2 linked regions of the Sus scrofa genome follow. Each later gene encodes a partner of the first gene's protein in a complex. Links are inferred from orthologs where the notes say so. Each region holds a gene or a part of one and is shown on either strand. Other genes may lie near its edges.

The links. Proteins that work in one complex are often made in the same cells at the same time.
Region 2: EFTUD2 (region 1) and SNIP1 share a complex: the UniProt entries of both Homo sapiens proteins name them as parts of the minor spliceosome. The link is inferred for Sus scrofa from reciprocal best matches to the Homo sapiens genes EFTUD2 and SNIP1.

What each region holds. Positions count from the first base shown.
Region 1 is NC_010454.4:18,483,975-18,494,704, forward strand, and holds part of EFTUD2 (116 kDa U5 small nuclear ribonucleoprotein component), read left to right. Parts: intron 1-1,779; coding exon 1,780-1,945; intron 1,946-2,586; coding exon 2,587-2,665; intron 2,666-3,335; coding exon 3,336-3,411; intron 3,412-3,880; coding exon 3,881-3,946; intron 3,947-4,707; coding exon 4,708-4,743; intron 4,744-6,738; coding exon 6,739-6,829; intron 6,830-8,072; coding exon 8,073-8,155; intron 8,156-10,730. UniProt on the Homo sapiens protein: Required for pre-mRNA splicing as component of the spliceosome, including pre-catalytic, catalytic and post-catalytic spliceosomal complexes. Component of the U5 snRNP and the U4/U6-U5 tri-snRNP complex, a building block of the spliceosome.
Region 2 is NC_010448.4:93,604,615-93,615,372, forward strand, and holds the start of SNIP1 (smad nuclear-interacting protein 1), read right to left. Parts: upstream 7,556-10,758; 5' UTR 7,463-7,555; coding exon 7,239-7,462; intron 5,543-7,238; coding exon 5,440-5,542; intron 1-5,439. UniProt on the Homo sapiens protein: Required for pre-mRNA splicing as component of the spliceosome. As a component of the minor spliceosome, involved in the splicing of U12-type introns in pre-mRNAs. Down-regulates NF-kappa-B signaling by competing with RELA for CREBBP/EP300 binding.

The DNA.
Region 1 (10,730 bases):
GTGTAATATATGTGTTATTGGAGTTCCCATTGTGGCTCAGTGGTAATGAATCTGACTAGTATCCATGAGGAGGCAGGTTTGATCCCTGGCCTCGCTCAGTGGGTGAAGGATCTGGCATTGCCATGAGCTGTGGTGCAGGTCGCAGATAAGGCTTGGTTGGATTTGGCATTGCTGTGGCTGTGGTGTAGGCTGGCAGCTACAGCTCCAATTTGACCCCTAGCCTGGGAACTTCCATATGCCACAGGTGCAGCCCTAAAAAAAAAAAAATATATATATATATATATATAATTGATTTTAGTTTTTGCTTGACTGTTTTCTAATTACCTGTGTATTAGCAAAATGGAGGTTACGAAGTTATTTTTTAACAGTTTTATTGAAGTATAATTCATGCAGGAGTTTTCTTATGGCCCAGTGGGTTAAGGATCCAGCCTAGTCATTACAGTGGCTTGGGTCAGTGCTGTGCGGGTTTGACCCCTGGCCCAGGAACTTTCATATGCCATGGGCATGGCCAAAAGAAAAAAAATTCACATACCTCACAATTCACCCATTTCCTATGTATATTTCACTGGGTTTTTTTTTTTAGGGTATTCCTAGTCATGCATCCGTCATCATAATCAGTTGTAGAAATGTTTTCATCATCTGGGAAAGAAATCTCTTACCCTGTAACCATTGCCGCCCAGTTCTCTTACCCCGCTCCATCCCTAGGCAACACTAGTCTATTTTCTGTCTCTATAGATTTGCCTTTTCTGGACATTTCGTATAAACAGAATTGTAGAATATGAGCCATTTTGTGTTTGGTTTCTTTCTTTCTTTTTTTCCTTTTTTTCTTTGGCTACACCTGCAGCATATGGAAGTTCCCAGGTCAGGGATCGAACCCACACCACAGATGTACCCACAGCCACAGCAGGGACAGCACTGAATCTTTAACCCACTGAGCCACAAGAGAACTCCCTGTGTCTGGTTTCTTTTACTTAGCGTAATGTATCTTAGGTTCATGCATGTTGTACCAAGAATAAGTATTAAATTTCTTTTTATTACCAAATAATATTCCATTGTATGGATGTACCACATTTTATTTATCCATGCATCATTCCATCAACATTTCGGTTGTTTCTGCCTTTTAACTATTAAGAATAATGCTACTATGAATATTTATTTATGTTTTTGTGTGAACCTAAGTTTTTGTTTGTCTGGCCTAGATATCTGGGAGCAGGATTGCTGGGTCATGTGGTAACTTTGTATTTAACATCTTGAAGAATGAACAAACTGTTCCCAAAGCAGCTGCACTATTTTCCATTCCCATCAGCAGGGTATAAGGGCTCCAGGTTCTCCACATCCTTGCCAACACCTGTTATTTATCTGTCACAAAGGTATTTTTCAAAAACAATTCTGTGAGTCTAAGAGAAAATTTTAAAGGTATGGACGTGTTCCCAGTTTCTGCCTCTTATTTCTGCCCATGGAGGAAGTTATTTTTTCCCTTAAAAGAGTGTGTTGCAATAAGCCATTTGTTTTCTCCAATCTCCATCCACTTGTAACCAGTGGCCCACATTTTTGGAAGGGTTAGTTTGAATCAGGCGAGCCATCCACAGTCCTAGCCTAGTCTTCTCTTTGTGGAGCATCACACAGTAGAACCTGCCCCGCTGACTCTCTAGCACAGAACTCAAAATAAGAAGCTGTCAAGTGTGTGGAGCCATTGCTTTTAACTCGTGTAATGTTGGCCGGTCATTGAACAGGAAAAGTGCGCACCCCTTCCAACCGTCTTCGCTCTCTTGCTTTTAGATGGACGACGAGGACGACGATGACGATGTAGGAGATCATGATGAAGAGCACCCTGGGATGGAGGTGGTGCTGCATGAGGACAAGAAGTACTACCCCACAGCCGAGGAGGTGTACGGCCCCGAAGTGGAGACCATAGTTCAGGAGGAGGACACGCAGCCTCTCACCGGTGAGTCTGGAGGCGCTGGCTGGGGAGCGCTGAATCCGAAACCAGAAAACTGTCTTGAAAGCTCAGTGAATGAACTGATTAGTTTCTCTTTCAGGTACTATGTCTAGATTGAGATTCAATTAACCCCATTTTGATATTCAGTAAAACTCATAGCTTATTACTTAGCAAATAAGAGTTACAAAGAGAGAGAGCGTTCTTTCTTTTAATCTAATATCCGTTTAGGTGCTTGAAGACAGTCTTTAAGTTCTCTTCTGGTCTGATATCCAAACAATACCAACTCCTTTAACTAGTCTTCACAATGCTTATTTTCCACTTTACTAATTTTCACTGAGCTTCTGGAAAGTGGTTGCATTTTTAAATGCAAGGAGTGCTTTTGAACTGATATCGAGCTCATCCTCTATCTAGTCCCTCTCTCTTCCTCTCACAAAATAAAGTCCAAACACCTCACTCCACAGTTCAAGACCCTTCACTGTCTCGTGCCAAATAGCATTCCCAGGACTTTCTCAATCTCAGTGACCCATGAGAATAGCATAAATTGATGTCGCATATCGTATATTCTGAAAGCTCAGTCTGTTGGAATAGGGCTCTGTGTTTTTATGTTTTATGCCTACCTGCACATCACTACTTTTTTTTTCTCCTAGAACCCATTATTAAGCCAGTGAAAACCAAGAAATTCACTCTGATGGAGCAGACACTACCTGTCACAGTGTATGAAATGGAGTAAGTTATTAAGGTCTTGCAGCATCTCTGCACAAACAGTATGGGTTCATTTTTTTTGTGGAGGTAGGAGGTGGTTTGTGGTTGAAGTAGCCAGTGAATTATTGTGAAAGCAGAACTCTCTCCCTACAATTTGCCAGCATTTTCTTTCTTTCTTTCTTCCTTTTTTTTTTGTCTTTTACTAGGGCTGCACCCTCAGCATATGGAGGTTCCCAGGCTAGGGGTCTAATCGGAGCTACAGCTGCCGGCCTACACCACAGCCACAACCACGCCAGATTCGAGCCTCGTCTGCGACCTACACCATAGCTCATGGTAACACCAGATCCTTAGCCCACTGAGCGAGGCCAGGGATTGAACCTGCAGTCTCATGGTTCCTAGTCGGATTTGTTTCCACTGCGCCACAACAGGAACTCACCCTTACTTGCTTTTTAAATGTCATTATTTTCCTATTGAAAGCTCCATGACATTTCAAGATTATGTCACCTCACAAATGAGTCTGTTCCATTCCCAAAGCCTGAACTGTGTAGGGGTAGAAATTCATGTCTGCCTTGGAACATTCTCCAGTTGGGCTGAAAATTGTTCCTGGCCAAAAATACCTAGAACATCTCTGCACCGCTCCTTTGTTTGAAAACCGTTGCCAGAGTCCCTTTTCTCTCTTCCTTTCTCCTTTCAGTTTCTTGGCAGATCTGATGGATAACTCGGAGCTCATCAGAAACGTGACGCTCTGTGGCCATCTCCACCATGGCAAGGTGAGGGAACTTGGAACAGGGTTGCTCTTTGTTTCTGCTGAGTGTTTCAGCCTAAGAGTCACTAATTGGGGTCTGAGGCCATAAGGCTGGACCTCCTGACTCTGCAGGGCCTCCCTGGAGCCTATTGTGAAACCGAGCCGTGAAATCCCAGCTTTTCCTGAGCAGCAGATGGAAAGCTAAGCCACTTGCATGCCTGAGCCTTGTGTCTACATCTGGACAGCAGAGGGGAAATTGGGCCTTACTTTATTTTATAAGTTTTCATTTCCTGGAGGACGCTTGCCCAAGAAAGATTTCATCTTTCATTTGAAAATAATCCCGTGGCTTCTTTATTTCTTTGTTGTCCCATAATCTCCCCTGCTCTCCTCCTCCTCTCCTTATCCCTGAATTGTGTGGTGTATTGGTAACTGGGGGAGGGTGGAGTCGATTTTCCTCTGTGGCCAGCAGAACATAACTTTCTTTTCCCTTGCAGACGTGTTTTGTAGATTGTTTAATAGAGCAGACTCACCCGGAAATCAGAAAGCGCTATGACCAAGATGTAAGTAGAAATTCTGTGGAGGGTTTGGGATGAACCATTCAGAACACAGGGGGGTGTCTCTCCTTCTCCTTCCTTCTAACCTCCCACTCTCATTATAAGTAATGATGCCTATAATATGCTGCTTCATAATTGTAATTTCTATTAATAGCCCTTAAGAAAATAATTTCCATTTTCTCAGGAACATAGAGAATATTAACCTGCAGTATTTTTGGATGATCTGTTCTGCACTTGAGATCCCTCCTGTGTTCTGATATATCCTGACTTTTATAGCCTATTCTTTCCTGTCATAGTATTAATAGCCTACTCTATAAATATAATACAGTTGGACCTTGTTGTTTCCATGATAAATTTAAATGCCTGTGAATGAGGCCCAGTGTGGCTGCAAGTCTCAGTGCAATAACTGTTCAGTCTCCGCCAGATTGACTGTTTTGATGTGCGGGTGTTCCGTGAAGGCTAGAGGTGTCTTCCTTTACCACTGTGCAGAATTCAATGCATTTGATGTGATTTAGCTCTCCAGCCACCTCGGTCCTTAGTGACTTCCCTGACTCCCCCCATAAAACCATCCAGGAGCATTTTCCACCTGGGAGGGCCCTAGTCTCATTGAACTCTCTGTAGCGCACCCTCTTGCCTTCCATCTGTTCTCCTCCTGAGCCAGAGGCCCCCAGGTTAGGAGTGGGTGAGGGGAATGATTGATGGTTTGTGGGTGGCAAGAATCTGAATTCAGGTGGTAACTACATTTTTTTTTTTTTTTCTTTTTTCAGCTGTGTTACACAGACATCCTCTTCACAGAGCAAGAGGTAAGTGTGCCTTTGGGAATCTGATTGTTGCCACACCAGACCCAGCAGTGGTGGTTTTGTAGGGAAAGTTTTTATGATAACGTTTTGGCCCATACAGCACCCGTCCCCCATAACTCCCATCCCTCAACCTCTTTATCTCCCTGCTTCGTCCCATGATCTCTAACTTGAAAGAGAGCTGGGTAGGCAAACTGTAGGATAAAAGGAGAGACCCTCCTGTCCTTACCTGGATTTAATTTAGCCTAATGGGGCAGATGCCAAGAGGTGGTGTGTACATTTATCTGTAAGTTATACAGAAGCCAAACATGATTTTTAAAATGACATCATCCTTAAAATCTATAGGATGACTCCATCCATATGTCGCTCTTCCTAGGGGCAGCTTCCCTTAGAGAAGAGGTTCATCTCTCTTTGTTCTTCTCTTTCTCTGTAAAGGAGTGCACGTATATCTCTGTCTTTTCCATTCCATCTGGTTAGTCTTTCCATCTAGAGGGGATCTTTATCCCTCCCCTCTAACACCTTCTGTTTCCTCTTCTCCTTTTTTTTTTTTTTTTTTTTTTGTGTGTGTGTGTGTGTGTGTGTGTCTTTTTAGGGCTGCTTCCATGGCATATAGAGGGTCCCAGGCTAGGGGTTGAATTGGAACTGTAGCCACTGGCCTACACCACAGCCACAGCAACACAGGATCCGAGCTGCGTCTGCGACCTACACCAGAGCTCACGGCAGCCCTAGAGCCTTAACCCCCTGAGTAAGACCAGGGATCAAACCTGTGTCCTCACAGATGCTAGTCAGATTTGTTTCTGCTGAGCCACAATGGGAACTCCCCTCCTTTATTTCTGTCTCTCTTAAATGACCACATGGAAAGCACAAATGTATAAGTTTGACTAACCAAAGGAACTCTAAACGGTGCTGGCATATGATAAGCAATCAACAAATATTAGCTATTTAAAAAATATATGTGTGTATATATTTGACTGGAGTTGGGCTTTTTTTTGTTGGGTTTTAGCTGTGCCTGTGGCATGTAGAAGTTCCCAGGCCAGGGATTGAACCCACACCACAGCAGTGACATAAGCCATAGCAGTGACAATGCCAGATCCTTTAACCCACTGTGACGGGCTGGGGAATTGAACTTGCCCCTCCACTGCTGCAATCAGATTCTTAAGCCACTGTACCACAGCAGCAACTCCTACTATAACTTTCGCTATATTTAAAAAAAAAAAAGGAGTTCCTGTTGCGGCGCAGTGGTTAACAAATCCGACTAGGAACCATGAGATTGCAGGTTCGATCCCTGCCCTTGTGCAGTGGGGTAATGATCCGGCATTGCCGTGAGTTGTGGTGTAGGTCGCAGACGTGGCTCGGATCCTGCATTGCTGTGGCTCTGGCATAGGCTGGCGGCTACAGCTCCGATTCAACCCCTACCTAGCCTGGGAACCTCCATATGCCGAGGGAGCAGCCCAAGAAATGGCAAAAAGACCAAAAAAAAAAACCCAAAAAACAAAAAAAAACCTAGGAATTCCCTCATGGCCTAGCAGGTTAAGGATCAGTGCTATTACAGCTCTGGCTTGGGTTTGATCTCTTGTGTGGTCTGGGAACTTCCACATGCCACAGGCACAGCCAAAAAAAAAGGAACCTAAAATAACCCAGATAGTTTCTTTTGATTTATATGATGTTTAATTATTTTTATTTATAGTGTACGAGGAAGATAAGATTTTAGGACTGTGGATTCTCCTATTATGGTTTACCACTGCTTTGCTTGCTTGTTCTTTTATTTTTACTTTTTTGTATTTGAACCAACTCTCCCCCATCCTGGGAAATGCTGTTAAGACCAAGATAGTTTGTCTTCAAGGTCATTCTGATTAGAGGACTAGGTTACAAAATCACACACACTACAAGGAGAGACAGTGGTGTAACTTACTAGCAACTGGGAAGCCCCCAAAGCAGAGTAAACCCCTCCTGCATAGGATGAGCTCTTGATCATCCTGTCTCTCTCTCTGTGACTTTCAGAGGGGTGTTGGCATCAAAAGTACTCCTGTGACAGTGGTCTTGCCAGATACCAAAGGAAAATCCTATCTCTTCAATATCATGGACACTCCAGGTAGGATGTTCCTGACCTTTTACTGTCAAAACCTTGACTTATTTTTTTCTTGTGCTCCTACTATTTCTAGAACAGAAAAGAGCATTATGTCTTTCTTTTTACATTCTGTTCATTAAGATGATAATTTTCATTTTTAACGGTTTCCTTTGCTTCTAACCAGTTAATTAGCAAGCACTGTGCTCCAGGTCTTCTGTCTTATTCCTCTCTTGACTCTGCTCTAGACTATTTAAATTTGGGGGAATCTTATTCATATATTAGTTTCAGCCTGTCAGTCACTGTGCTAGACATTGGGGTGACAAAGATGAGTCAGACATGGTCCCAGCCTCAGGCCATCTCAGTCTTTTGATGGAGACCACGGGTACTTACCAGTGGCTGGGGATGTACAGGTTGCCATGGAGCAGCATATCTTGTCCCTTGGTTGCCTTTTTCTCTTGATTCATTTTTATTTTTTGCTTTTTAGGGCCACACCCATGGCATATGGAGGTTCCCAGGCTAGGGGGCCACAGCAGTGCAGGATCTGAGCCTCATCTGTGACCTACACCACAACTCACCGCAATGCCAGATCCCCAACCCACTGAGTGAGGCCAGGGGTCAAACCCGCATCCTCATGGGTACAAGCAGGTTCTTTCTGCTGCGCCACAATGGGAATTCTGGAAAATCTGGGTTTTGGCAGATTGGCCTTTTGCCCCATCAGGTGCCCTATGCCCTCCTACTTCTTAGCCCCTGACCCCCACCCATACCCAGCAGCAGCACTTTGCCAGGAACCAGCTCCATGCTAAAGCCCTTCCTTTGCCTTTTTTTCTGCCTCCAGATTGTCTTCTGTCCCACAGAATTCGACTCACTGATGGTTAGACTAAGCTAGGGTGTGAGTGGAATGCATTATGCCCTGCTTGGTAAAACATTTCCTCCTTTTTATGTTTGGGGGCCTCCTGTATAAAAGCACAATCCAAGGATGGGACACTAACGTGGAAATTTTTTTTGGCTATGCCCATGGCATCCAGAAATTCCTGGGCCAAGGATTGAACACAAGCCACAGCAGTGACAATGCCAGATCCTTAACCCACTAGGCCACCAGGGAACTCCTAATGTGGAATTTTATACACTGCAGGGAGCTGTGGGGAGAAGGGAACGGGGCTCTTTGTGGGTTCACATGCTTTGCAGTGCCCTGCAGACCACATACAAGTTGATTGTGCCTCAGCCTGTATCCACACAAGTGGCAACTTACCTGGTATTTGCTTTTCAGGGCATGTGAATTTTTCTGATGAAGTCACAGCTGGCTTGCGCATCTCAGATGGAGTGGTCCTGTTCATTGATGCTGCCGAGGGCGTGAGTCTGCTTCTGTCCTTTGGGACCCCTCTCTCCCTGTTATATTTGCCCTACACACTGCCCAGAGCTCTGAGTGAGCTGAGCCAGGAGCCAGAGAACGTGAGCGTCTCTGAGATTGAGGCTCATACTTGCTTTAAAATTAGGGCAGCAAATAAAGGTGTAAATCAGTTCTCAGTGAGTCCCTCACCCCCTGCCCAGAGAAGCTCAAGATGATAGGACTCGTTGTCATTTAAGAAACACAGGAGGAGTTCCTGTCGTGGTGCAATGGTTAACAAATCCGACTAGAAGCCATGAGGTTGCAGGTTTGATCCCTGGCCTGCTCAGTGGGTTAAGGATCCAGCGTTGCCGTGAGCTGTGGTATAAGTCACAGACGTGGCTCAGATCTGGCGTTGCTGTGGTTGTGGTGTAGGCTGGTGGCTACAGCTCCAATTAGACCCCTAGCCTGGGAACCTCCATATGCCGAGGGATCAGCCCAAGAAATGGCGAAAAGACCAAAAAAAAAAAAAAAAAAAAAAAAGAAACACAGGAATGACAAATGTAAATAATAGGGAGGGAGGAGAGTTTATTCCTGTAAGTGGATTTTATTCTATTTTGTTTTATTTTACTTTTTTGCTTTTTAGGGGCACAACTGCAGCATATGGAAGTAACCAGGCTAGGGGTCAAATGAGAGCTGCAGCTGCCAGCCTATGCCACAGCCACAGCAATTAGGGATTCAAGCTGTATTTGCAACCTACACCACAGCTCACAGCAACACCAGATCCTGAACCCACTGAGCGAGGCCAGGGATCAAACCAGTGTCCTCATAGATACTAGTCAGGCTTGTTTCCACTGAGCCACAACAGGAGCTCCGGATTTTAAATGTCAGTGAAGTTGTCTAAACTAAGAAGAGATTGGAGTTAAAAGGGCCAGAGTGTTTTTTATATTTCTAAATAGAAAGATTAGGTATGTGGAGTTCCCACTGTGGCCCTGCTCAGTGGGTTAAGGGTCCACTGTTGCCCTGAGCTGTGTGTGGTGCAGGTAGAAGATGAGGATCGGACCCCATGTCTGGTGGTTGCAGCTCCAAGTCAACCCCTAGCCTGGGAACTTCCATATGCCTTGCCTCTCCTGTGGCCCTTAAAAAAAAAAAAAAAAAAAAAAAAAAAGAATAGCTAATTTGGCTAACCTCATTCATGTTGTCATTGGTGAGATAGCCAGCAGAGGGAGCCAGCGTTGCCCTTTTAAAAAATTAACTTCATTTTGGGGTAATTTCGAACTTATTGAAAAGTTGTAGTAATACTGAGAACGCACCTTCATTTGCTTTGTAATCATCTCTCTGTACATGCTTGTGTGCCCTCACACGTTTGTGTGTTTTCCATTGGACCAATTGAAAGTAATGTATTTCAGGATGTATTTCCTAACAGGGACATACACTTACCAAGATTTGGAAACTTAGTATTGGTCAATATTGTCGTATAGGCCTTTTCTGGAGACCGTAATCAGTCTCTCTGATTGTTCCAGTAATGTCCTTTATAGAGGTTTTTTTTCCCCTAACCCAACCCAACATTCAATTTTCATGTCTCCATAGTCTCTCTCTCTCTCTCTTTTTTTTTTTTTTTTTGTCTTTTCAGGGCTGCACCCATGGCATATGGAGGTTCCCAGGCTAGGGGTTGAATCGGAGCTGTAGCCACCGTCCTACACCACAGCCACAGCAATGTGGGATCTGAGCCGCGTCTGCAACCTGCACGTCTGCTCATGGTAACGCTGGATCCTTAACCCACTGAGCGAGGCCAGGGATTGAACCCGAAACCTCATGGATCCTAGTCGGGTTCATTACCACTGAGCCATGATGGAACTCCTACGTTGTGTTTTTACTAGTCCGTCACGTCAGAAGGTCCGTGATGTCCCCATATCCCATTACTGGTGATGTCAACTTTGATGACTTGGCTAGGGTGGGCCTGTCAGGTTTCTCCAGTGCGAAGTTACTATTTTATTTTACCCTTTCTAATAATTTGTGGGCAGGTACCTTGAGTCAGTATAAACATGCTATTCCTTATCAAAGTTTACTTCTTTTGTCATCCATTGGTCATTCCTAGCTTGTTTATATAATAGTTACAAATGGTGGTTTTTCTCTTATTATTTCTTCTGTATTTATTGGTCAGAATTTTGTTGTAAGGAAGAGCTTTCCATTCTTCTCCACTTGATTATTTATTAGTAATATAGATTCATGTATTTTTATTGTACACAGTGAGTTTTAATCCTTTAAGATCCTTATATCTTTTATATTTTTTCTTTTGTTTTGTTTTTCTTTTTTGGCCGCCCCACAGCATAGGGAGCTCTTGGGCCAGAGATTAGATCTGAGCCATAGTTGTGACCCCCACTGCAGCTGTGGCAACACCTGATCCTTTAACTCACTGTGCCAGGCCGGGAATTGAACCTGTGTCCTTGCGCTATAGGGACACCACCAATCCCGCTGGCTAGTGAGAACTCCTTCAGGCTGACTTCTTTATCCTTTTGACGTGCCCCATCTTCTTGTAGGCACAAAAAGATGCCCTAAACTCATCTTGTACTTTCCCCGCCCCAGTCTAGGAGTCAGCTG
Region 2 (10,758 bases), on another chromosome or scaffold:
ATCAAGCCTGGGCCACTGCAGTGATAACACCAGACTCTTAACCTGCTGTGCCACAAGAGAACTCCTTCCATCTTTTTTTTTTTTTTGCTTTTTAGGGCTGCACCCGCAGAATACGGAAGTTTCCAGGCTAGAGGTTCAATGAGAGCTGCAGTTGCCAGCCTACATCACAGCCACAGCAATACCAGATCTGAGCCAAATCTGTGACCTATACCGTAGCTCACTGCAACACCAGATCCTTAACCCTCTGAGTGAGGTCAGGGATTGAACCTGTGTCCTCATGGAGACTAGTTGGGTTTGTTCCCACCAAGCCACAAAGGGAACTCCCCATCTTCTTTTGAACCCTCCAATTAGGCTCTACCCTTACTACTCCACTAAAATTGCTAGTCAAGGCCACTGGTGACCTCAATGTTGCTAAATCCAACGGGCAATTCTCAGTCCCAAAAGTTTTTCAAAAAGTGAAATTTTTTCAAATTTCAAATAAGTGTATTTTCAAAAAGTGTATACCAGGCAAAATTAGTAGATACTATGGAAAGAATATGACAAATCACGTAATCAGGTAATACTAAATAACTAAGATTTCAACATATATTCTCAATTACTGATAAATCAAGTAGGATAATATATAAATAGTTATTATTATTTAAAATCTTTGCAGGAGTTCCCATTATAGGCAGCAGAAACGAATCCGACTAGTATCCTTGAGGATGCGGCTTTGATCCTGCCTGGGCTTGCTCAGTGGGTTGGGAATCCCACTTTGCCATGAGCTGTGGTATAGGCTGCAGATGTGGTGGCTCGGATCCCAAGTTGCTATGGTTGTGGCGTAGGCTGGCAGCTGCAGCTCCAATTCAATGTCTAGCCTGGGAACTTCCATATGCCCCTGGTGTGACCCTAAAAGGCAAAAAACAAACAAACAAAAACAAAAAAAACTTTGCATAGAATATACAGAGAGAGACACATCAAAACATAAAGGAAAAGAAAAGAACATAAGTATGATAGAGCTCTGAAGTATAAATATCAAACTATTAAAATGGCTACCTCTGGGGAGTGAGGTGATTTTTTTTTTGGTTGGGGAGAGGGGTGTGGTTTCTGGGGCTAATGAGAGGAGTAACCATACTCTCACTTTTTATTTTACATACTTTTGTGTTATCACGATGAATATGCAATCGATAAATGTAGCTTTTTTTTCCCGTCTTCTTAGGGCCACATCCACAGCATATGGAAGTTCCCAGGCTAGGGGTCGAATTGGAGCTGTAGCCACCAGCCTATGCCACCGCCACAGCAACTGAGTGAGGCCAGGGATCCAACCCACATTCTCATGACTACTAGTTGCGTTTGTTACCACTGAGCCACCACGGGAACTCCCCATAAATTTAATTTTTAATGGTGGCTGAGTGGTACAGAAGAGAATACCTGTAAGTACAAGTCATGCTTAGGTCAGAGGCTATGTGTACCCCCCACAATCCAAGTGAAAGTTACTGAATTTCAACTGCCTTTGGCTTGAGAGGCATTTCCAAGTTTCTACCTGATTAATACCACAAAATCAGCTTCTTAAGAGATAACCTGAGGTCAGAAGAGAAGTTAGCATAGATAAGCAAACTGAGATACTTCAAAATAATAATAATCAAAACAGTTCCATACTCTAAGCCCCAGGATTGTAAAACAATCCAGGGAGCAAAATGGTGATTACCAGGAGGTGGGTGGGTGAGAGGATAAGACTGATGATATTTAAGGGTACAAACTTGTGGAGTTCCCGCTGTGGCACACTGGGCTGAGGATCCAGCGTTGTCTCTGTGTTGGTGCAGTTTTGATTCCTGACCCAGTGCAGTGGGTTAAGGATCTGGCACTGCCACAGCTGCAGCTTGGATTTGATTCCTGGCCCAGGAATTTCCATAAGCCTCGGGTGCAGCCAAAAAAAAAAAAATTAAAAAGGTACAAACTTGCAAACCACAGAGATAAAATGCACAGTGTGTGTAATGCAATAACACTATATGATAATGATGACACATGATAAATATTGCTTCAGTGGCAGTATATAAATGTATCATAGTAACACACTGTACACCTTAGATCCACAAAATGCAGCATGTCAAATCCATTAAATCAAAGAAGTGACAAGTTGTATACACACACACACCACCCTCTAACAAGTGGTTTGAGAGGTTCAATGTGGATACTCTGGTTCCAGAGGCTGAATTCTGAAATAGCCAAGGCCATGCCTGACCAACTCACAGAGCTGACTATTAGGACCATCTGGCTTTGAATCTTTTTTTTTGGTCTTTTTAGGGCCACACCCATGGCATATGGAGGTTCCCAGGCTAGGGGTCTAATCAGAGTTCCAGCCACCCGCATACACCACAGCTCACAGCAACGCTGGATCCTTAACCCACTGAGCGAGGCCAGGGATCAAACCTGTGTCCTCGTGGATGCTAGTCAGATTCCTTAACCGCTGAGCCACGATGGGAACTCCCTGGCTTTGAATCTTTCAGGTAGTAGAAAGTTGGCCCACAGTCTCTCAAATTCATAGGAAAATCCATTTTCTAAATGCCAATGTCTCTATTTGCACTTTGTAATTTAGAGTTACTATTACTTTTTAGCTGCATCTTAGGGATATACAAGTTTCCAGGGCCAGGAACCAGCACCAACACAGTGACCTGAGTCGCAGCAGTGACAACACTGGATCTTTTAACCCGCTGTACCACAGAGGAACTCCCACAGAGTTTCTTTAAAAAGAAGACTGAATGTTTCCCCCTCAGGACTGAGAGTAAGGCAAGACTGTCTGCTCTTACTACTCTTATTCCATATAGTGCTGGAAGTCCTACATCAACAAGAAAGGAATTAAATGTATATAGACTATAGAGAAAGAAACTCCTCCCAATTTGGAGGTTTGAATTATGTAGCAAATCCTGAGTAAACTCTAAAATAAAGGAGTTCCTATCATGGCTCAGTGGTTAACAAATCCGACTAGGAACCATGGGGTTACGGGTTGGATCCCTGGTCTCGATCAGTGGGTTAAGGATCTGGCACTGCTGCGAGCTGTGGTGTAAGTTGCAGACGCAGCTCAGATCTGTTGCTGTGACTGCAGTGTAGGCCGGCAGCTGTAGCTCCAATAAGACGCCTAGCCTGGGAACCTCCATATGCTGGGGGTGTGGCCCTAAAAAGCAAAAAAATAAAGAAATTTAAAAAATAAAATAAAAAGCCAATTCTCCCCCAAATACAATTTTAACATAATTCCAATCAAAATCCCAGCACAATCTTATAGATACGAACAAGACTATTCCATTTCATATGGAAATACAAAGGAACTAGAATCACTAAAACAATTTTTAAAAAGAAGAAAGTGAAAGAATCAGTCTATCCAATTTGAGAACATATTATATAGCTGCAGTAATCAAAACTGCAGTATTGGCAGAATGACAGATCAATGGAAGAGAGAACCCAGAAATATAGGCACACACATGCCCAACAGATTTTTGACAAAAGAAGCAAAAGCAATTAAAGGAATTAAATTCCAACAAATGGTGTTGAAGCAAGTGGACATTCATGGGCCAAAATATGAAATCTGATCTAAGGCTCTCACCTTATATTAAAACAAACTCAAAATAGATCACAGACCTAAATCACAAATATTAAGAAAAAAACCATTCTTTTGGGATTGAGGGCCAGGGAAAAATTTCTTAGACACCAAAAGCATAATCTATAAAAGGAAAATGGATAAGCTGGACTCCACCTAAGCTGAAAACTTTCACTCAGAGAAAAACCCTATTAAGAGAATGAAAAGACAAGACACAGACAGGAAGAAAACACTGGCAAACCATTCACCCCAAAAGACCTAGTATTGAAGAATATGAAAAAGAATTCTTAAAACTCAAGAGTTTAAAAAAACAAACAAAACAAATAATCCAACTAGAAAACAGGCAGAAGACATGAAGAGACATTTCACATGAGAGGAAATATAGACGGCAAATAAGCACATGAAAAGCTGGTCAACACCATCAGCCTCAGGGAAATGCAAACTAAAAATCACAGTAGCACTTTCATACCTATCAGAATGGCTAAGAAAAAAAAAAAAAAACAAAAACGTGTGCCAATACCATATGCAGGTGAGGATGCAGAGAAATTGGATCACTCACACATTATAGGTGGAAATGTAAAATGGTGTAGCCACTGTTATGTTGTGCTCGCTCCAAATTTATATGTTCAAGTCCCAATCCCCCCATCTAAGAATGTAACCAAATTTTGTGGAGGTGAGATTTAAAAAAAAAAAAAACAAAAAACTGGTTGAGTTGAAAGGAGTTGACACCCTAATCCAACATGGCTGTTGTGGTTAATAGGAAGAGACATGAGCCAGGGACATGAGCCACTGAGGAAAGGCTATGTGAGAACACAGCTGGGACAGTGACTAGCTGCAAGCCAAGGAGAGAGGCCTCAGGAGAAACCAAACAGCTGAAACTTTGGTCTGTGACTTCTAGCCTCTAAAACTGTGGAAAAAATACAGTTTTTGTTGTTTAAGGCAGCCAGTTTGTGGTATTTTGTTATGGAAGACCTAGAAAATTAACACAGCACTCTGGAAAACAGTGTGGCAATTTCTTAAAAAAATTAAACATGGAACTATCATACCATACAGCAACTGCACCCCCAGGCATTCATCCCAGAGAAATAAAAACTCATGTTCACACAAAAACCTGTACACAAATGTTTACACAGCAGCCTTATGTCTAAGAGCCAAAAACTGTGAACAACCCAGATGTTCCTTAATGGGAAAATGGTTAAACCCATACCAGTGAATATCATTCGGCAATAAAAAGAATGAACTACAGAGATGCAATAATCTAAATGCATCTGCAAAGAATTTTGCAGAATGGAAAAAAGCCAATCCCATAAGACTGCATACTGTATGATTTCATTTACATAATATTTGTGAAATGACAAAATTACAAAATGGAAACGAGATGAGAAGCTGCCAGGAATTGAGGGCTAAGGGTGCGAAGGAAATGAATATGACTACAAAAGGACTATATGAGGGATCTTGTGGTGATGGAAAGGTTTTGCATGTTAACTGTATTGATGTCAATATTTTGGTTGTGAATAGATAATCAACAAGGACCTACTGTACACCAGAGGGAACTATCATTAAACTATACTTTAATTAAAAACAAAAACCACTTTTCCCTTAAAAATTTTTTCTGGTTGGAATAGAGTTCTATAATTATGTAAAATGCTTCCAATGGGAGAAACAACCACTTCTGTATTATTTTCTTACAACTGCAGGTGAATCAACAGTTATCTCAAAATAAAAGGTTTAGTTTAACGAAGTAAACAGGCAGACAAAAAAACCCCAAAAAGCCAGTTTCTAGAAAAGCCCACCGCAGGCAGAGGTGAACACACACACAACACTCCAGCTCTGATGGAGCCGGTATGAAAACATCTCAATCCGCTTACCTGCTTCACTTTGACTGTTGAGTGGTGAGGACTTCGGCTTCTCCTACTCCGGGGAGACTTGCTTCTTCTCCCCGAGGACTTATTTTTCTTTCTCGGTGGGGACCTGTTCAGAGAATGGTACACATAAATTTCATCTCAATTTTCATTCGCTCATACAAATTAGCTTCAAGTATCAGGCCTATCTACTAACACAAACATCACATTTGTGAAGGCTTCTGCTGATCACACTAAAGGAGTCAGGAGCTTCACTTTTTCAGCCCTGAATGTCTCCCACATATGTAGCTGCCAATTGAAACTTCTCACTTCGATAAGAGAAGGCTAAATTCCCACCTCTCAACTTTCCTATCTTTGCCATCAGGGTAACTGATACCACTATCCATCCGTTCCTCAGGCCAAAAACCTAGAAGTCATCCTAGATTCTTTTTTTTTCTCCCCCTTACCACCAAGAGGCCCCATGCTCCTCCCCAACACGCTCACAATCAATCAGCAAGTCCTCTGGCTCCAGGCTCTACCTCTTCTCTCTCCCACCGCATTCCTACCCACCTCACTATACCGGATCCCCTCCCCTCCTCCTTTTCTAGAAGGAACACAATTAATTCCACTTCAGGATCTTTGCACTGCTTGTTTTCTCTGATTAGATCTTTACAAGCCTGGATTATTTTTATCAATCAGGTTTCAGGTCAAGTGGCAGACTTTTCACAGAGAACCACTTCTCTCCACTCTCTATGACATTACTGTCTTAACCTATCCCTAGTACTTGTTACTAACAAATTATTTTCTTTATTTCCTTGTTATTCTGTCTCAGGGCTAGAGCATCTCAGTTTCACCAGGGTAGAGATCATCTATCATGCTCATTCTTTCCACCCCAATACCCAGGACGGCCTGCCTGCCTGCCTCATATTTTCTTTTCTTTTTCTTTCTTTCTTCCTTTTTTTTTTTTTTTTTTTTTTTGTCTTTTTAGGGCCACACCCTTAGCATATGGAAGTTCCCAGGCTAGGGGTCAAATCAGAGCCACAGCTGCTGGCCTACGCCACAGCCATAGCAACACAGGATCAGAGCCGCATCTTCGACCTACAATGCAGCTTATGGCAACGCTGGATCCTGAACCCACTGATCGAGGCCAGGGATGAATTCTACATCCTCATAGTCCTCAAGAATACTAGTCCAGTTCGTTACTGCTGAGGTACAATGGGAACTCCCATTATTTTCTTTATTTCAGTTTTATCTGTGTATAATTTTACAGTTTGATTCAAATTCCACATATACATTTATATTTTAAAAAATTGTACATAGCTATTTTCCACATTATTTTATAACCTATGAGGTCTTTAGCACATAATAAGTACTCGACAAAACTATGTCGAATGAATGAATAAATTGTTCGCAAAAGACAATTTCCCCCCAGAATATCAGACAGATCACCTAGGCTCAGGATATGAAAACTTCTTGGGGCAGATAACTGAAAAAATAACCCCATTTGGAGGCAGGTGGGAAAAATCTTTCATTTCAACATAAACTATCATTGTCATCAGCTGGACCATACTCGGAGAAATGCTGAGCACACAGAGATGAAGGAGCAAGAACTTGCCCATCAGGCATTAGGCGTTTAACGCCCAGGTATAACGCAAGTAACAGGTATCAGAGTAAACGTTAACACACTCACAACCGGTCACTTCTATCGCCTTAGGATTAATTCAAGCTGCCGCGCTCAGCATTCAAGGTGTGCTCCTGGTGCCAGCCCTGTCCCCCTTTCTCAAAAAGCCCGACCTCAGGTCTACCCCAGGCTGCTTCCCACTTACCGGCTACCTCCTCGAGCTCGGTTCCCGCGGTGACCGGGGCGGCCTGACTCGCCGGCCAGCGGGGAAGGGCTACCGCCGGAGGAGTCCGGACGGCGATGGACAGGAGGCGCGGATTCCGGGCTGAGGCGCTCCTGCTTCACCACCACCGTCGCCGCCGCCACCATGTCCCCGTCCCGGTGCCTTCGCCGACTTCCCCGCTCCCGCTCGCTCTTCACCTCCTTCATGCTGTGAAACGGCTGAGCCAAGGAAAAACAGGACCGTCGCGCTCCTCTCCGTGAAGGAAATGACGGACTTGAGTCCTGGACTTCCGCTTCCGGGTGCGCGCTCTCCCAGAAACCCTCGCGGCGGATAACGCGATCAGAATCCCGAGTGGGCGGGGCCTTAGGGACCCGACTCTGTGGGGCGGGAGTTTTAGGTTTCAAAAACAAATTGGGGGGAAAAAGCTCCTCTCAAGGTTGTTTGTTGACGCGTTATTACTAGTTACTAAACATGGGGACAAACTACACATCCAGCAGTAGAAAAGAGATTATGTCACCATTTGCAATGGTATTTACAAACTATACGACAAATGGAAAAAAGTCTGACTTGTTAAATGGAAGAAGCAAGATGCAAAATTGTGCGCAGACTGTGATGACATTTACGTTTGGAAATACGAAGGAAAGGGGAAGAGAAGGAAATGCAATCACAGATCGTAGCCCGGGCAAATCGTCGGCCGGGCAAATCGTCGCCATTTCTCCATTAAAGGCAAACTCTTTTTAAAACCTGGGAACTTTAAATGCCTTCCTCTGGGAATCTTCCTCAGCCTTCACTGAGGAGTCAAATGATTCCATTTGCGGGTGACAAAATCCAGGATCAGCGAAAGTGATCTGCGCCTTACTCAAACCGTGAGCTGGACGCAGCGAAGGGATCCAGAACTCAAGTTTCCCCTGCTTCCAAGAGTGCTAAGGCGATCCCGGTGAGCAGGAGGCTTGACAAGCTAAACGCAGGAGAACTTTCCTCGAAGGTTGAGCAGAAAGAAACTCTCGAGCTGCTGGCCCCGCCCCGCCTCGAAGCCCCGCCCAGGCCATGAGGATGTCAAGGACGTTTCCATGGCGACGGCAAACACTGCCCTGACAGGAGGGTCGCTGCTGTGCTGCTACCCTCGCCGCCGCCATGATCCCCCCCGCCGACTCTCTGCTCAAGTATGATACCCCGGTATTGGTGAGCCGCAACACGGAGAAACGGAGTCCCAAAGTAAGGAGGAGTCTCAGGATGGGGGAGCTCGGAAACTCCCACGGGGAATGACAGATCCCTGCCTTGAGGATTGGGAGTCCCAAGGGACAGAGGGTGCAGTGACTGGGAATAAAGGGAATTAGGACCAGGCAAGGAGGGTGGGAGAGCGGTACAAGAAGCCCAGATGTTGGGTGATCCTAAGGGCAGATTTAGGATGGGAAAAAAAGTCACAGAGAGATGGATGGGGCTCCCTGCCCTATCCAGGTAGTGTACAAGGATAGATCTGATAGTGACTGGCCCCATCTCTAAAGGTAAGAAAGTAAAGGCCTGAGCAACATCTGCACAAGGAGATAGAAGCATTGAGTTGGGGTGGGACCAGAGATTCTTCATGGCCTCCTTCAGCTCTGAAACATAACTTCTAATGAGGAAGAGTGATCTGAGAATGGGGGAGAGGTATGCGAGTGACCCGGTGAAAGCCTGCCAAAGTGTGTGGAGCTGAGTGTCTAAATCACCTCCTGTCCCACCTTGTCCTTCCTTCTCAGGCTCGGCTACTGAAAGTCAGCCCCCAGCAGCCTGGACCCTCAGGTCCTGTCCCACAGCCACCGAAGACCAAGCTCCCCTCAACTTCCTGTGTCCCAGATCCTACAAAGCAGGCAGAAGAAATCTTGAATGCCATTCTGCCGCCAAGGTTAAAAAAAAAGCAGTGGCTGGGCGGAAGCCCAGACTTTTGCATCCTAGAACTTAGGAATGTGTGAGGAGGCACCCTGTCTCTGTTTCTGGCTGGGATTTCTTCCTAGCATCCCAGAGTTCCTAGAACTTGCAGATGGCTAGATGCTGAGGGTTGGGGGGAGACATCTCCTCATTTTCAGAGTGCTCTAAATGCTGATGGCGCCCATATGCTGGATCTAGCCCTGTCCTCTCCCCTAAACTCCATGCGCATATATTCTGCTCTGTTCTCATTACCTTCATGAAAATGTCTAATACACTTCTCAAACTTAACATGTCTCAAACTAAATCACAATGTCTTCCTTCTCCCAACCTGCTCATCCTTGGTCAGTATGGGGGGGCCATAGAGGTATGGCCTGCAATACATACATTCACCTCTTTCCGGCTGGCGCAGGTCTATGGTCCCCTGTGTCTCCTACCCCGTCAAGTCAGTGGGAATTTCCTCTGGGCCTTCCATTCAGTAACAACCGCCATAGATCTGTCCTCACCATGGTCAGTGGTTAAGATCTGGAACATGGGTGATGACTTCACAGAGGGTCCTGGAAGAATGAAGACTGCCCAGCCCCAGGGGAGGGGCCCCTTGGAGGTTGCACAGTGGGTGTGGCTTTGGAGCCACACACTCCTTAAGGAAAAGGAGGAGATGGAGGATTCTGGTGGGTCAGGGACAGAGCTGCCCCTCGCTCCTCTCAAGCAGAGAACACAAAGGCCCACCTCTGCTCCCCTCCCAGTGACCCTCTCTGGTGGATGGGGTTCACTCAGCCCGGCTCTGTCTGTGCCACAGGGAATGGGTGGAGGACACACAGCTATGGATCCAGCAGGTGTCCAGCACCCCCAGCACCAGGATGGACGTGGTGCACCTGCAGGAGCAGTTGGACCTGAAGCTGCAGCAGCGCCAGGCCCGGGAGACCGGCATCTGCCCTGTGCGCAGGGAGCTGTACTCCCAGTGTTTCGGTGAGCAGTCCGAGAGGGAGGGTCCTCAACCCCCTAGTGCCTCCTTCCCCGTCAGCACAGATCCCGACCTGCCCCACCCAGGAACTGCTAAATGCACCCTCTTCCCCTTCTCAGGACCCCCATCCCCTGCCAGTCACCACATTCCTAGCAAACCTGGTTCTTCACCCCTTAGCTGTTTGGAGTCAGACAAGAACATCAATTTCAAATCTTTTTTTTTTTTTTTTTAAAGGTTTCTAAAATAAGCCTACGTCAGGTTTTTTTTTTTTTTTTCATCAGAAAAACTTAATGTTTTGGAGTTCCTTTGTGACTTAGTGGGTTAAGAACCCACCATAGTGTCCGTGAGAATGGGATTTCCATTCCTGGCCTTGCTCACTGGGTTAAGGATCCAGCGTTGCAGTAAAGCTGTGGTGTAGATCTCAGATGCGGCTTGGATTTGGTCTTGCTGTGGCGTAGGCTGGCAGCTGCAGCCCCGATTTGACCCCTAGCCTGGGAACATCCATATGCCACAGCTGCGGCCTTAAAAAGCAAAAAAAAAGAGAAAAACTTAATGTTCCATATTTATATCCATCTATCGACATTCAGCCTTTGGTCCAGAGGAATCTTTCAGGGTGATAACAACTGTATGGCGGTT